Linked DNA regions of Sus scrofa. The protein of the gene in region 3 binds, or shares a complex with, the protein of the main gene of each other region. Links are inferred from orthologs where the notes say so. Each region holds a gene or a part of one and is shown on either strand. Other genes may lie near its edges.

Region 1 (3,863 bases), on a different chromosome or scaffold from region 3:
GCCCCATCCTTCCCCAGCCACTACCAGCGCCACCGTGGGGGCCCCTGGCCCCAGCTGGCGGGGTCGCCTCCTCCTGCAGCGCCCGCACCTCCCAGCCTCCGCTCCACCTCTCTCCTCTTCTTGCCCACACCCTCCTCCGCTGGACCCTGCCCTTGCCCACTGCAAACCCTGACCCCCCCCTTCCCCTGCCAGCCGGCGGCCGCCTCCCAGGGGCGCGCGCTCGGGCTCCCCACTGCCTCGCACCTTCTCCGGACTCCGCGAGGGCTGAGCCTTCTCTTGGCCTCCTCTGGCCTGCTGCCCAGGATGGGCCTCCCCAGACGCTAGCTCGGGACTGTCCTCAGCCCTGCGCGCCGCCTTGTACAGGCCCAGCCCTTCCCGTGTCCAGGCGCGTGCCTCCCCCGCTCCTCGTGCGCGACCGCGCGCTGCCCCGCTGCCCCAGGGGCCCGGCGCGCACCGACCCCCGACCCGGTGTGTGCAGTGGTGATGCCAAAAGGAATGTCACGAAACTTTCGCTCAGTGTCGCTTGTTGCCTGCAGGGAGTGTGAAAGAGGGGACCGGGCAAGAGCCGAGGGCAGCCGCAGCCCGCTCACGCTTGGGCGGTGCCGGCCGCGGGGCTCCCGGGGTCCGCGGGCGAGGCGGTGCCGGAACCGGGCTCCGGCAGTCTCTTCAGCGGGTGGCGGGCGGCGGCGGCGGCGCGGTGGCGGCGCGCGCGGCAGGCGGTGAGCAGCGAGCCCAGCCCCAGGCAGGTGGCCAGGCTGGCGAGGAAGGAGGCCGGCCCGAGCGCGTAGACCACGGCCAGGTCGCGCAGGGCAAGCGGCTGTGCGCAGCGGCTGAAGGCGGCGTCGGGGAGAGCGGCCAAGGGGCTGAACGTCAGGCGCCCGGGTGACACGCAGAGCAGCGTCTCGGCCTCTGCGGGACACGGGCGCGGCGTCAGGCGGCGGCGGCGGCGGCGGCGAGGGCCCGGCCCCGCCCGCGCTCCCGAGGGCTCACCTGGCGCGCTGCTCGGGTGCCGGCGCAGCCAGGCGCAGAGCGGGCGCAGCGCGCAGCCGCAGGCCCAGGGGTTGCCGCGCAGGCGCAGCGTGTCGAGGGCGGGCAGGCCGGCCAGGAGGCCCCGCGCGAGCGCCGGCAGCTCGTTGTCCCGCAGGTTGAGCGCGCGCAGCAGCGGGAGCGCGCCCAGCGCGGCGGGCTCCAGGCGCGCCAGCCGGTTACCCGCCAGCGAGAGGTCGCGCAGCGCCCGCAGTGGCACGAAGGTGCCGGGCACCAGCACCTCCAGCTGGTTGGCGCTGAGGTCGAGCTGCTGCAGCGCGCCCAGGCCCCAGAAGGCCCACGCGTGCACCCAGCGCAGGCCGTTCTCGTGCAGGTCCAGACGTAGCAGCGCGCCAGCGCCCACGAAGGCGCCGGGAGGCAGCGCCCGCACGCGGTTGTGGTCCAGCAGCAGAATACGCACGCTCTTTCTCAGGCCCCCCGGCACGGCGGGCAGCGCGCGCCCGGAGCAGTTGGCCTGGCCGCCCGGCGCGCACACGCACGCCTCCGGGCAGTCCGGGGCGCCCGGGGGTCCGGAGGGGGTGGCTGCTGGGAGCGCCTGGGTCCAGACTGGCCACGGCGACAGCAGCAGTAGCCACAGCGGCGGCAGCCGCCGCGAGAAAAAGGAGGGGCTGCCCATGGGGGCACCAGTTGGAGGCCAGCTGCCGGCGCGTCTCTGGAGCCTGTCCGTCCCCGGGGCGCCGGCACAAATATTAACTCTCCGGCCCAAGTGCAGGCAGTTCCTGTCCCACAGCTGGTCCCGCGCCTAGGGCGGAGGCTGGGCACACAGCCAGCGCCGGGCACTGCCAGCCACCTGTCCCGAAGCTCTGAGCTCTCCTTGGCTCCACTCCAGCAGCAGTACTGACAAGAAGCCACCCCTCTCTTGACCTGACCATGGGCGTGGTCCACCACCCCACACCCTGGCGAGGCCTGAGCAACTGGACCACACCGTCCGTCGCCCCCCCACCAAACTCAAACTCAGGGATGGACACACGGAATGGGACCTGGAGGGAGCCCAGTCTCCGCCTGTCTCTGGCACCACAACGTGATCCTGGCGCACACATGCACACGCAGTCCCATGGCGAATGACTGCTGGGGCACAAGCACCCTATTCAGCCCGAGCCCGGAGGACAGGCGAGGGGGGCAGAGGGCTGCACACCTGCAGAAGCGGGGGCATTGTCACCCCTGCCCAACCTTGCCCTCCAAGGACTCTCCCGGAACTTCAAGGAGACTGTGGGTGGCGCAGGGGCACCAGCCCAAATCCTCCTGTCAAACACTGCTCCCTCTGGAGTCACTGGAGTTGCATCGGTTCCCTGGGGTGGGGGTGGGTGGCAAGGGCCCACCCGGGCCTGCCAGCTTCAGGGACAAAGCAGCAGGAACGAGCCGGGCTGAGGCCACGACAGGAGGAAGTGGAAGGACCAGGGGTGGGGCTCCCTACCCTGGAAGGTGGACAGGAGGCGCCTAGCACGGGCACTGGGCACCCCACTGAGGATGAAGGAGGCGACCCGAGTGTGTGTGCCCACACCCCTCCCACGGCCCAGAAGGCATCTGCACAGGGGCTCCCGGGGGCAGCAGGGGGAGGCTCAGAAGCACTAAATACTATTTATTTCCCCTCCCTGAGCTGCCCCAAGCCCTACTCAGGTGGTGGGGGCGGGCGGCTCCTCCAGGTTCCCGGAGTCCATGGTGATAGCTGTGAGGCCTTGATCTTCCAGGGGAGGCATCATGGAGGCGTCCAGGTCGGGGTCCATGAGGTGGGACTCCACGTGCACCGTGTGCAGGTCCATGCGATCCTCCTGAACCCCAAAGTGCCCCACCAACCTGCACAGCACGGTCCAGGTCAGGCAGCCTGACGTATCCGAGCCACCCTCCCCGGGGCCAGCAGCAGGGGCCCCAGCTCACCCTCAGGGTCCTCCCCTGGGGTCACTCACCTGCTGTCCATGTGTCCAGGGCATGTTTCACTGGGGAGCAAAGATAAGATGTGAGTCCGGGAACAGTGGGGGTGGCCTCCAAGAGCCCAGAAGTGCTCCGCACACCTCTCCCCAGTCCAGCCTGGGAAACGCCATTCCCAAGTCCCTGGTGACCTCGCCCAGGAGCAGAGGGCCCTCCCCCGGCAAGACCAAGGGCCTGGGATGGGCAGCGTAGCTCAGAGGCCCTCATCCACCCACCCTGACCCCGGGGCTCACGCACCCCTTGGCTCGAATGACGCCCATCGCCACAATGACGAGGGCGCAGAAGCAGCTGGCGCTGACACCCGCCAGCACCACCAGCAGGGCAATGAGGGCCTCGCGGCTGAGGCCAAGGCTGCACTCGCAGTAGGTTCCAGCTGCAGAGACAGGGCCCACAAGGCCAAGGGTCTGTCGTCACCTGCCAGCGGATGGCCCCAGAGGCCACCCCGCACCCCGGTGGCCAGCAGGACGAGGGAGGGGCCCTGGCTGGGGGCGGGGCTTGGGGACAAGAGGAGGCACCTGCAGCAGGGATGGACAAAAGGGACAAACACAGCAGGCCAAGCGGGCTGCCAAGCAGGCAGGAGTCAGGCTGGGGACAGGGGGCCATGTCCAGCCCCCGCCCCGCGGCACACCTCTGGACGGAACTCATCGGAAGGTGCTGACCTCACAGTGGGGCTGTGAGGCCGGGGGCGGGGGCAGGGCCCGTGCGCTGCACTGCCCTCGGGCGCTGGGATTCGAGGCGCCCTGGGCGGGCGGCCCCGGCGCAGGGGGCAGGGGCCTGGGAGTCATCCAGGTGTGCCTGGCCGGGTCCAAGGCAGAGGCTGGCAGGGCTGCCCTGGTCTTGGAGGGACAGCGCTTCATAGTGAAGGGGGCAGGGCCTGCAGCTGGGCCCTG
Region 2 (3,643 bases), on a different chromosome or scaffold from region 3:
CAAGAAAAATATACCAGGAGGGATAGGTCGCTGTCTTTTTTTTTTTTTTTTTTTTTTGTCTTTTTGCCTTATCTTGAGCTGCTCCCATGGCATATGGAGGTTCCCAGGCTAGGGGTCCAATCAGAGCTGTAGCCACTGGCCTATGCCAGAGCCACGGCAATGCAGATCTGAGCTGCGTCTGCAACCTACACCACAGCTCACAACAATGCCAGATCCTTAACCCACTGAGCAAGGCCAGGGATCGAACCCGAAACCTCATGGTTCCTGGTCGGATTCGTTAACCACTGAGCCACGATGGGAACTCCATACCAGGAGGGATAGGTTGCTTTCTGGCTTTGGATATTGCTGTGCCTGGCTATGACATCTGGAACCACAGCCACCATATTGTATCCATGAGGGGAGCCACCCAGAGGTAAAACTGAGATGTAGAAAGGAGCAGCATTCTTAATGATGTTAAGGCACTGTATCAAACTACCCTACTACTGGTCCACCTGTGCATTCTTGAATGCATGAAATAATCAATTTCTGAATTATTATGCTACTTTGAGTCAGTTTTCTGTTGTCCTGCAGCAGATGGCATCCTAAGTGGTATACAAATAAATCAAACTTGAAGATCAAGGGAAGCCATCCAGAGATGGTAATATCAGAGGCGAAGGCAGAACAAGGCAGTCAAGAAGCAGGAGAAGCAAATTAAAACACATGGCAATAAACATATAAGATATTCTTGGAACTTCATATGGATAAGAGTGGCTATTGAACAGACTATAAGCATGGAGATAAAGCTGGAGAGGAGGGCATCTGGGGTGGGAGCTTGAGGAGGCTTGCATGCTGTGAACTGGATGAAATGTGGCCACAAAACCTTTGTGGCTTCTTCTGGCAGGAAGCCGAGTCTATTTCAACCTCCTGTGAATCTGATCAGCCTCATGATTTGCTCTGACTGGTAGAACATGTCCAAAGGGATGTTACGTGAGCTCCAGAGACAAGGTCTGGCTCTCTTTACGTGCTCTCCTGAGGCTGCCGTATTGTGAGGAAGGCAGTCCTGCCTGCTGGGGGATGAGAGGCCAGGTGGAAGAGGAAGGAGTGCGCTTCAGCTGAGCTGGCACCATGTGCTGGGCATGAGGGAGGAGGCCACCGTGGACCACGTGGCAAGTCCCCCCATCATCTGACTGCACCTGAGCCCAGGAAGGACCAGCAGATGAATCTCCTAGCCAACCCACAGAATCATTAAAAATAAGAAATCACTGTTGCAGAAGGTGACTAGGTTTAGGGTGGTTTGTTACACAACAACAGATACTGGATACACAGGCCATGCCAAGATGTTTGGACTTTACTCTGAAGACTATGAGGAGTAACCTGATCGGACTCATGTTTTAGAAAGATCGCTTTGGCAGTGATGTGCAGAATACTTTGGACAGGGATTGGGGTGCAGGGCAAGGGTAGAAGAACTGGTTAAAGGACTGTTATGCTAATAGGGCTGAGCAACAGTGTGAATCTGAACAAAAACAGGGGCAAGGGAAGGCAGAGAGGAGTTAATGCAGGCATGAAATTAATGGGATGGTGCATATAGATTATGAAGTGTCAAGGAGAAAAGTGAGCTAAGAATTAGTCCAAGTTTCTGGACTAGGTAAATGAGTGGACGACAGTACCATTCACTAAGAGAGAGGCTATGGGAGGAAGAGAAAGTCAGACAGAACTGCGGAACAGCAAGCAGTTGAGAATACTGGATAAATGCTTGATGAACAAATTACTGTGAACAATCTGGGTGGCACTGAAATATCCTGGTGCAAGGAGCCACTGCTATGTGGCATGACTTGAGTTTTAAGTCAATTACAGTTTTCATGGTGTGAACTCCTTTCATGGACACTTCATCAGGACACAAAGGGGAAAAAACGGTAAGATTTGATGTCTTCCAAAATGCTGATCAATCTGCATATTGTCCATTGCATTAATCGCCAATTCTCAGGGAACATTTCCAGTGTACAATGTTCCTACCTAAAGGCACTTTCTTAGTGGAGCCAGAGGGTAAACTCTATGGCACAAGTTCTTTTTTTTGGCCACAGATTCTCGACATGCCTCCCATCTTGTAGAGCAAGGAGGGGCTTCTCCAACTTGATGCCAGAAAGAGCGAGACCATCTCCATCTCAGATACTTTGTCAAGCGTGCACAATTTATGATTTACTAATACAACACCTACGGAGGCTACAAACAGCTTTAATATGCACATGTAAACATTGGCTTACCTTTGAAATTGATTAAAATAGCAAGTAAATGGCTGGGAACCAATCTCATCTTTCCAGTACTGTTGCCAATTCATGACACTTTCCAAGTTCTTCTGATTTTCTCTCTTACAGGGAGGGATATAGGAGCACTAACAAAATAGAACACAGAAAGTAAACCTATTATTCTACAGAACATTGAAATACAGTCCTTTTTTTTTAATAGAGAGATGGCATTATGCTGATAGGAAATCTAATTCTGACCTACTTAATTTCTAATTTAACCAAATTGAAATTGCTAAGCTATTTCAGATTTCTAATTTGGCGCAATTACAGAAAGTATTCCAATAACAAAAAAATAGGCCCCAAATAACTTTCAGTCATTATAGTCTAAAGATACTTTATAAACAATTAGTTACAACCTATAAGCAAACCGAAAGCATAATATACTCTGTCTTTGAGGGCCTGTCCATCAACAAAGGGAAGCAACACAAAAGGTCGTTTTCATCCTCAATTTCTAATGGACCTTGATATTTTCCTCTCCTACTATTAATTAACAAATAAAGCATGTAGCTCTGCTCAGATATTGCTCTCAACCACTGAAACTCCAGTTTTCTTGCTTGCTTTTTAGGGCCTCACCTGTGGCATTTGGAGGTTCCCAGGCTAGGGGTCCAATCAGAGCTACAGCTGCCAGCCTACACCACAGCCACAGCAACGCCGGATCCTTAACCCAATGGGCAAGCCCAGGGATTGAACCTGCATCCTCATGGATCCTAGCCGGGTTTGTTAACTGTCTTTTTGCCTTTTTTTTTTTTTTTTTTTTTGTCTTTTTGTCTTTTTGCCTTTTTTTTTGTCTTTTTGCCTTTTCTGGCACCGCTCCCGGGAATATGGAGGTTCCCAGGCTAGGGGTCTAATCAGAGCTGTAGCCACCGGCCTAAGCCAAAGCCACAGCAACAAGGGATCCAAGCCGTGTCTGCGGCCTACACCACAGCTCATGGCAACGCCGGATCCTTAACCCACCGAGCAAGGCTAGGGATTGAACCCACAACCTCATGGTTCTTAGTCGGATTCGTTAACCACTGAGCCATGATGGGACCTCCTAAGAGCTGATATTTCTTTCAGCTCTACAACTGGAACTAGAGTCTGGTGCTTCATCTCATTCTGCTCTCAGATGTTTAACCAAGGTGTTTCAGTATTAGCAAACAAGAAAAAATCCATTATCTTTACAGCATCATTTGAGCCGCATTATTTTAGAGCATATATTTTGTCAATACCTTCTCACCATCTTCTGGTAAAATACAAACTTTTGAGTACTATGTACAAAGTTCTCCATGATCTCGCCTCTGCCTGTCCCCATCCTCATTTGAAGCTGGCATGCAGTTGCACAGAAGAAGCACTTGTTCCCAAGTCTGCCATGTGCTATCACA
Region 3 (3,643 bases):
ACACGGCCATCGTTCCCTTTGCAGGACAAGGATTAAAACACTGGTTGACCTATTCTTTCAGAGATGAAAAATACCTATGCTCTGTTAGGTACTGTGCTAAGTACTCTGTTAGGTACTGGGAGATGATGACATTTAGTTAGAACCTACTAGGTGCTAAGGACTGAGTTAATCAACCCTTGCCTAACATCCAGGTAGTCTTTAGTAATAATAACTGCTAATGTTCTTGAGCATTTACTATGTGACAGACACCATTCTAAGCCCTTAATGACTAGTAACTTATTTAAACCTCAAAACAACTCTAGAGGAAGGTGTGTTATTAATCCAAGTCTTTGGGAAGTTAATTACCTGGGCCACCTACTACAAGGCTGGCACTGGTAGGTGCTGGGGATCCAGAGGTGAATCCCAGCAAATGAAGAATTAGCAGCCAGCTTGTCGATTCAGATTAAAGCAATGGGCAAGAGCAAAGCAGCTGCTTGTACAAATCCAACCCGTCCTCCAGATCCATTACAAGTCAGGCCTCCTTCAGGAAGCCCCCCCATCCTGGTAACACAAGAAGTGGTGGTCTCTCCCCAGTACAGATCCCCTATGTTATTCTGCCACTTGATGAAACTGACTTGAGTCAGTTAACACAGGACCCATGCTGTGCTCCAATTGTTGCACACATGCCTGTCTTAAAATGCTCACACAATATGAGGGCAGGACCCATATGCCATTCTATACACCATATTTGTCTTGAACCTTCCAAACACCCAGCATAGGATGCGCCCCACAGCTGGTCATCAATAGCTAAGGGATGAATTGGATCTACGGCTTCTGCTCCGGTGCCCATGGCCTGACTGGTCTTTTCAGAACTTGCAGAAGTCACTGCTAAGAACAAAAATGCTGGTGCTCCAACATGGTGGCCAGTATCTTATTCAGGAAAGGAAGGAGACACACAGAACAGCTACAGGGGAGCCAGCCTCAGTGGGATCTCAGAGCAGAATTGAGTCCTGGGTGTCAACCTTGTATGGAACCAACAGCAACATGTGAGCTTTGTGCCTTGGCAAGGTGAGGCTAAGACTGGCCCCATGATGGCCCCATGTCCATACAAGAAGATAGTGCCACCCAGGTCATCATGGCAGAGCCCCCCAACTCCCCATCCCTGTGGCGAACTACCTTTTACCTAAAAGGGGATCGGGCAAAGAATCTCAACGGCACTGAGTAGAGAGAGATACCTTGCTTTCCTCACCCATAAAACAAACATGGTAAAATCTACCTCTTAAGTTCACTGTACATCCTAAGGTATTTTCTCTCTCACGATAATAGCTAACATTTATTGAACACTTACTGTGTGCCTGATTCTGCTCTGTGTGCTTTGAATGGGTTACTTCTTTTCATTCTTACAATAGCCCAAGAAGGTAGATAGAAACCACTTTGATCTCCCCATCTTATGTGGAAACTGAGGCCTAGGGAGGTTGAGGAGCTTGTTCAGTAACTGGTTGAGTCGGGATTTAGAATGTACTGTGAATGGAGCCCATACTTTTTCCTCCCTCTATTGATTTAAGGAGAGATGGCATGCGTGGGGACCAGGACCATGTCCTACACTGAAGGTTTCCAGGAACGTCAGTTGTTGTTTCTATTATTATTACCTTGCACCTTGCTTCCTCTTATGTCTGTGCCTTGCTTTGTCCCTATGTCAGTCCTGCAGTCATTAAGAACCCACGCCATGCAGCTAGTCATCCATATCAGACACTGGACACATCTGGACCACACAGATCCAAATAGCTGGGGGGCGAGTAATGACATGTTTGACCCATAACGGATCCCGCTGTCATCTTCCAGAATCGCCTCCACAGGAACAGGTGCTGCTCTCATCTCTGAAGGAGGGTGTTGCTTCTCTTTCCGTCAGTTCCATGTCATCCTCTCAGTGAGGCCAGTGCAAATGGGAGCTGATCCATCTCCACCCTGTCCTCCCCTACATCACTGTACCCTGAGACCTCCCCTACATCACTGCTCCTACAGACACCCCAGGAGTCCCCCTCCCTCACTGGGCCTGGTTGGGAGGAGGGTCTTGAAAGAACAGGGACCTCTTACTTGTGAAGAAAGACGATCTCCACGTTGACGTCGTCCCGGTCCTTGTGAAGAAAGTCCTTTAGGAAGTTGGAAACGCTCTCCAGAGTGATGTGTCCACAGACCACAATGTGCCTGAATGAGAGAGGCCAGTTAAGTGAGGTCAGCCCAGGGGTGAGCCGGCACCGCCACCCCCCAACCCCTGCGAGACAGAGGAAGCGCACAGCTGCAGAGAAGCATCACGGTCTCCAAAGAGGCCTTGTTAAAGCCCAGCTCCCTTCCCCAGAGGGCGGCGAGGCATAGCAGCAGGGCCGGAAGGCGCTCAGAGCCTCCTCAACAGAAAAGCATATGGCTTCTCACCTGATGCTGCACAAAATCCTATTAAAAGCCCAACCGTTTGGCCAAGTGGTTTTATGCATTTAACAATAAGTGACATTATGCTTGTGCTTAAATGCTGCATTATCAGGTCCCCTGCAGATTCATATCTCTCCCTTTTTGCCCACAAAGCGTCCTCCCGGGAGATTTACCGAATGAGTCTTGGTTTATGACATAGAGCTTATCAGGTAATGAGATAACAAATCTTGCTGAAACGATGATTTTGTGTGTAAGAAAGCGGACTTTTATCAGGGTGGCTAATGTGCAGCTTGACACGTTATGGGCTCTGCTGGCCATAAGCAGTAAAAAGGAAATTTTGCATTTTTCCGCCATAACTCCTCCGACAATGGGGGCATGTAACACTTTACAGTAAGTGAGCATCACTCAGGGCTAAATGGGGCTGGGACTCCTATGGAATCTGAGATCATGCCGCAGGCTGTGCCTCCCCAGACAGCTGCTTCCTTAGGGGTTGTGAGATTTCCACAAGAGACAAAGAAATTTACCTCAAGATGGGGAGAAAAGCAGGAAGGGGTGGGAATGAAATTTGCCTGTGTCATGGCAGTTCTGTTTCTGGAGACGATGGCTTACCCCGAGGAGAAGAGTCCATCTTCCAGAACTACTGAACAACAGAGCCTCCCACCACCTTTGGGCTCCTGGGCCAATTTTGACACTGGGCTATACTTTGGCCACTTATATTCATATATATGACGTTCAATCAGGAGTAAGCTCCCTTGTGCAAGAGTTAACCCCATGACTGGATGTGGCGAGGGAACCCGCTGGCTTCCAGTAAAGGGCCTGTAGCAAAAGGCTCAGCCCAGGTCCCTGTGCCCCTCCAGCTGGTAGTGACAGAGGCTGACTCCCTGGCTGGGCTTTGCAGCATGGGCAGGTGGCAAAACAGTCATTTGGTAGGAAAAATTTAGAATGGCCAGGTCCCGTGCACTTGGTAATTGCTCTGAGCACTTTCCAAGAAGGCAGAAGGCTCATTGGCTGGAGGCAGCTCCTAAGAGGAGGCAGTGATGATCGCTTATGCAATGTTCCATTAGATGCCATTACAGGAGCTGCCCTTTCGTTGTAATTTGGTGCTTGACTAAGTATGTGAGAATAATGCAGTAAACTCATTGGTGAAAGGATAATGATGCAGAACAAAGAGTAAATCAATAATACGTACAAGGCAGTTAATAATATCGCCATTATGGACTGTTATTGTTACAGTGCTGCA

Evidence for each region.
Region 1: the proteins of KCNMA1 (region 3) and LRRC26 are in contact, whole or in part, in a cryo-EM structure (PDB 7YNZ), measured with the Homo sapiens proteins. The link is inferred for Sus scrofa from reciprocal best matches to the Homo sapiens genes KCNMA1 and LRRC26. Residues at the interface, in NP_001154824.1 of Homo sapiens: Pro78, Cys79, Asp80, Ser81, Arg82, Gln84, Trp88, Ala92, Ser93, Val96, Thr97, Glu155, Trp158, Met159, Ser161, Val162, Trp165, Cys206, Leu226, Leu227, Phe229, Gly230, Leu231, Phe233, Ile234, Asp251, Phe252, Pro256, Phe259, Val260; in NP_001013675.1 of Homo sapiens: Gly204, Cys205, Gly206, Cys207, Ala208, Arg236, Leu237, Ala249, Phe250, His252, Cys253, Ala254, Gln255, Leu257, Arg260, Asp261, Leu262, Val264, Val265, Tyr266, Leu268, Gly269, Pro270, Ser272, Phe273, Ser276, Leu277, Cys280, Leu281, Leu283.
Region 2: the proteins of KCNMA1 (region 3) and KCNMB4 are in contact, whole or in part, in a cryo-EM structure (PDB 6V22), measured with the Homo sapiens proteins. The link is inferred for Sus scrofa from reciprocal best matches to the Homo sapiens genes KCNMA1 and KCNMB4. Residues at the interface, in NP_001154824.1 of Homo sapiens: Phe98, Phe99, Leu102, Phe103, Leu106, Leu107, Arg109, Thr110, Tyr113, Leu114, Thr116, Val117, Asp238, Leu240, Trp241, Leu244, Pro327, Trp328, Asn330, Gln332, Leu367; in NP_055320.4 of Homo sapiens: Thr11, Glu12, Ala13, Glu14, Lys16, Ser17, Leu20, Leu24, Ile34, Phe35, Cys38, Trp39, His105, Thr164, His165, Val183, Leu186, Ile187, Leu190, Thr191, Ala194, Leu197, Ala198, Lys200, Ala201, Met204.

Annotation. Positions count from the first base shown.
Region 1 is NW_018084833.1:724,519-728,381, reverse strand, and holds LRRC26 (leucine-rich repeat-containing protein 26), read right to left. Parts: upstream 2,470-3,863; 5' UTR 1,664-2,469; coding exon 991-1,663; intron 910-990; coding exon 587-909; 3' UTR 508-586; downstream 1-507. Other genes in the region: TMEM210 (transmembrane protein 210), read right to left, coding at 2,661-2,841, 2,952-2,981, 3,211-3,346, 3,489-3,618. UniProt on the Homo sapiens protein: Auxiliary protein of the large-conductance, voltage and calcium-activated potassium channel (BK alpha). Required for the conversion of BK alpha channels from a high-voltage to a low-voltage activated channel type in non-excitable cells.
Region 2 is NC_010447.5:34,589,375-34,593,017, reverse strand, and holds part of KCNMB4 (calcium-activated potassium channel subunit beta-4), read right to left. Parts: intron 2,369-3,643; coding exon 2,241-2,368; intron 1-2,240. UniProt on the Homo sapiens protein: Regulatory subunit of the calcium activated potassium KCNMA1 (maxiK) channel. Modulates the calcium sensitivity and gating kinetics of KCNMA1, thereby contributing to KCNMA1 channel diversity.
Region 3 is NC_010456.5:79,560,413-79,564,055, forward strand, and holds part of KCNMA1 (calcium-activated potassium channel subunit alpha-1), read right to left. Parts: intron 2,185-3,643; coding exon 2,074-2,184; intron 1-2,073. UniProt on the Homo sapiens protein: Potassium channel activated by both membrane depolarization or increase in cytosolic Ca(2+) that mediates export of K(+). It is also activated by the concentration of cytosolic Mg(2+).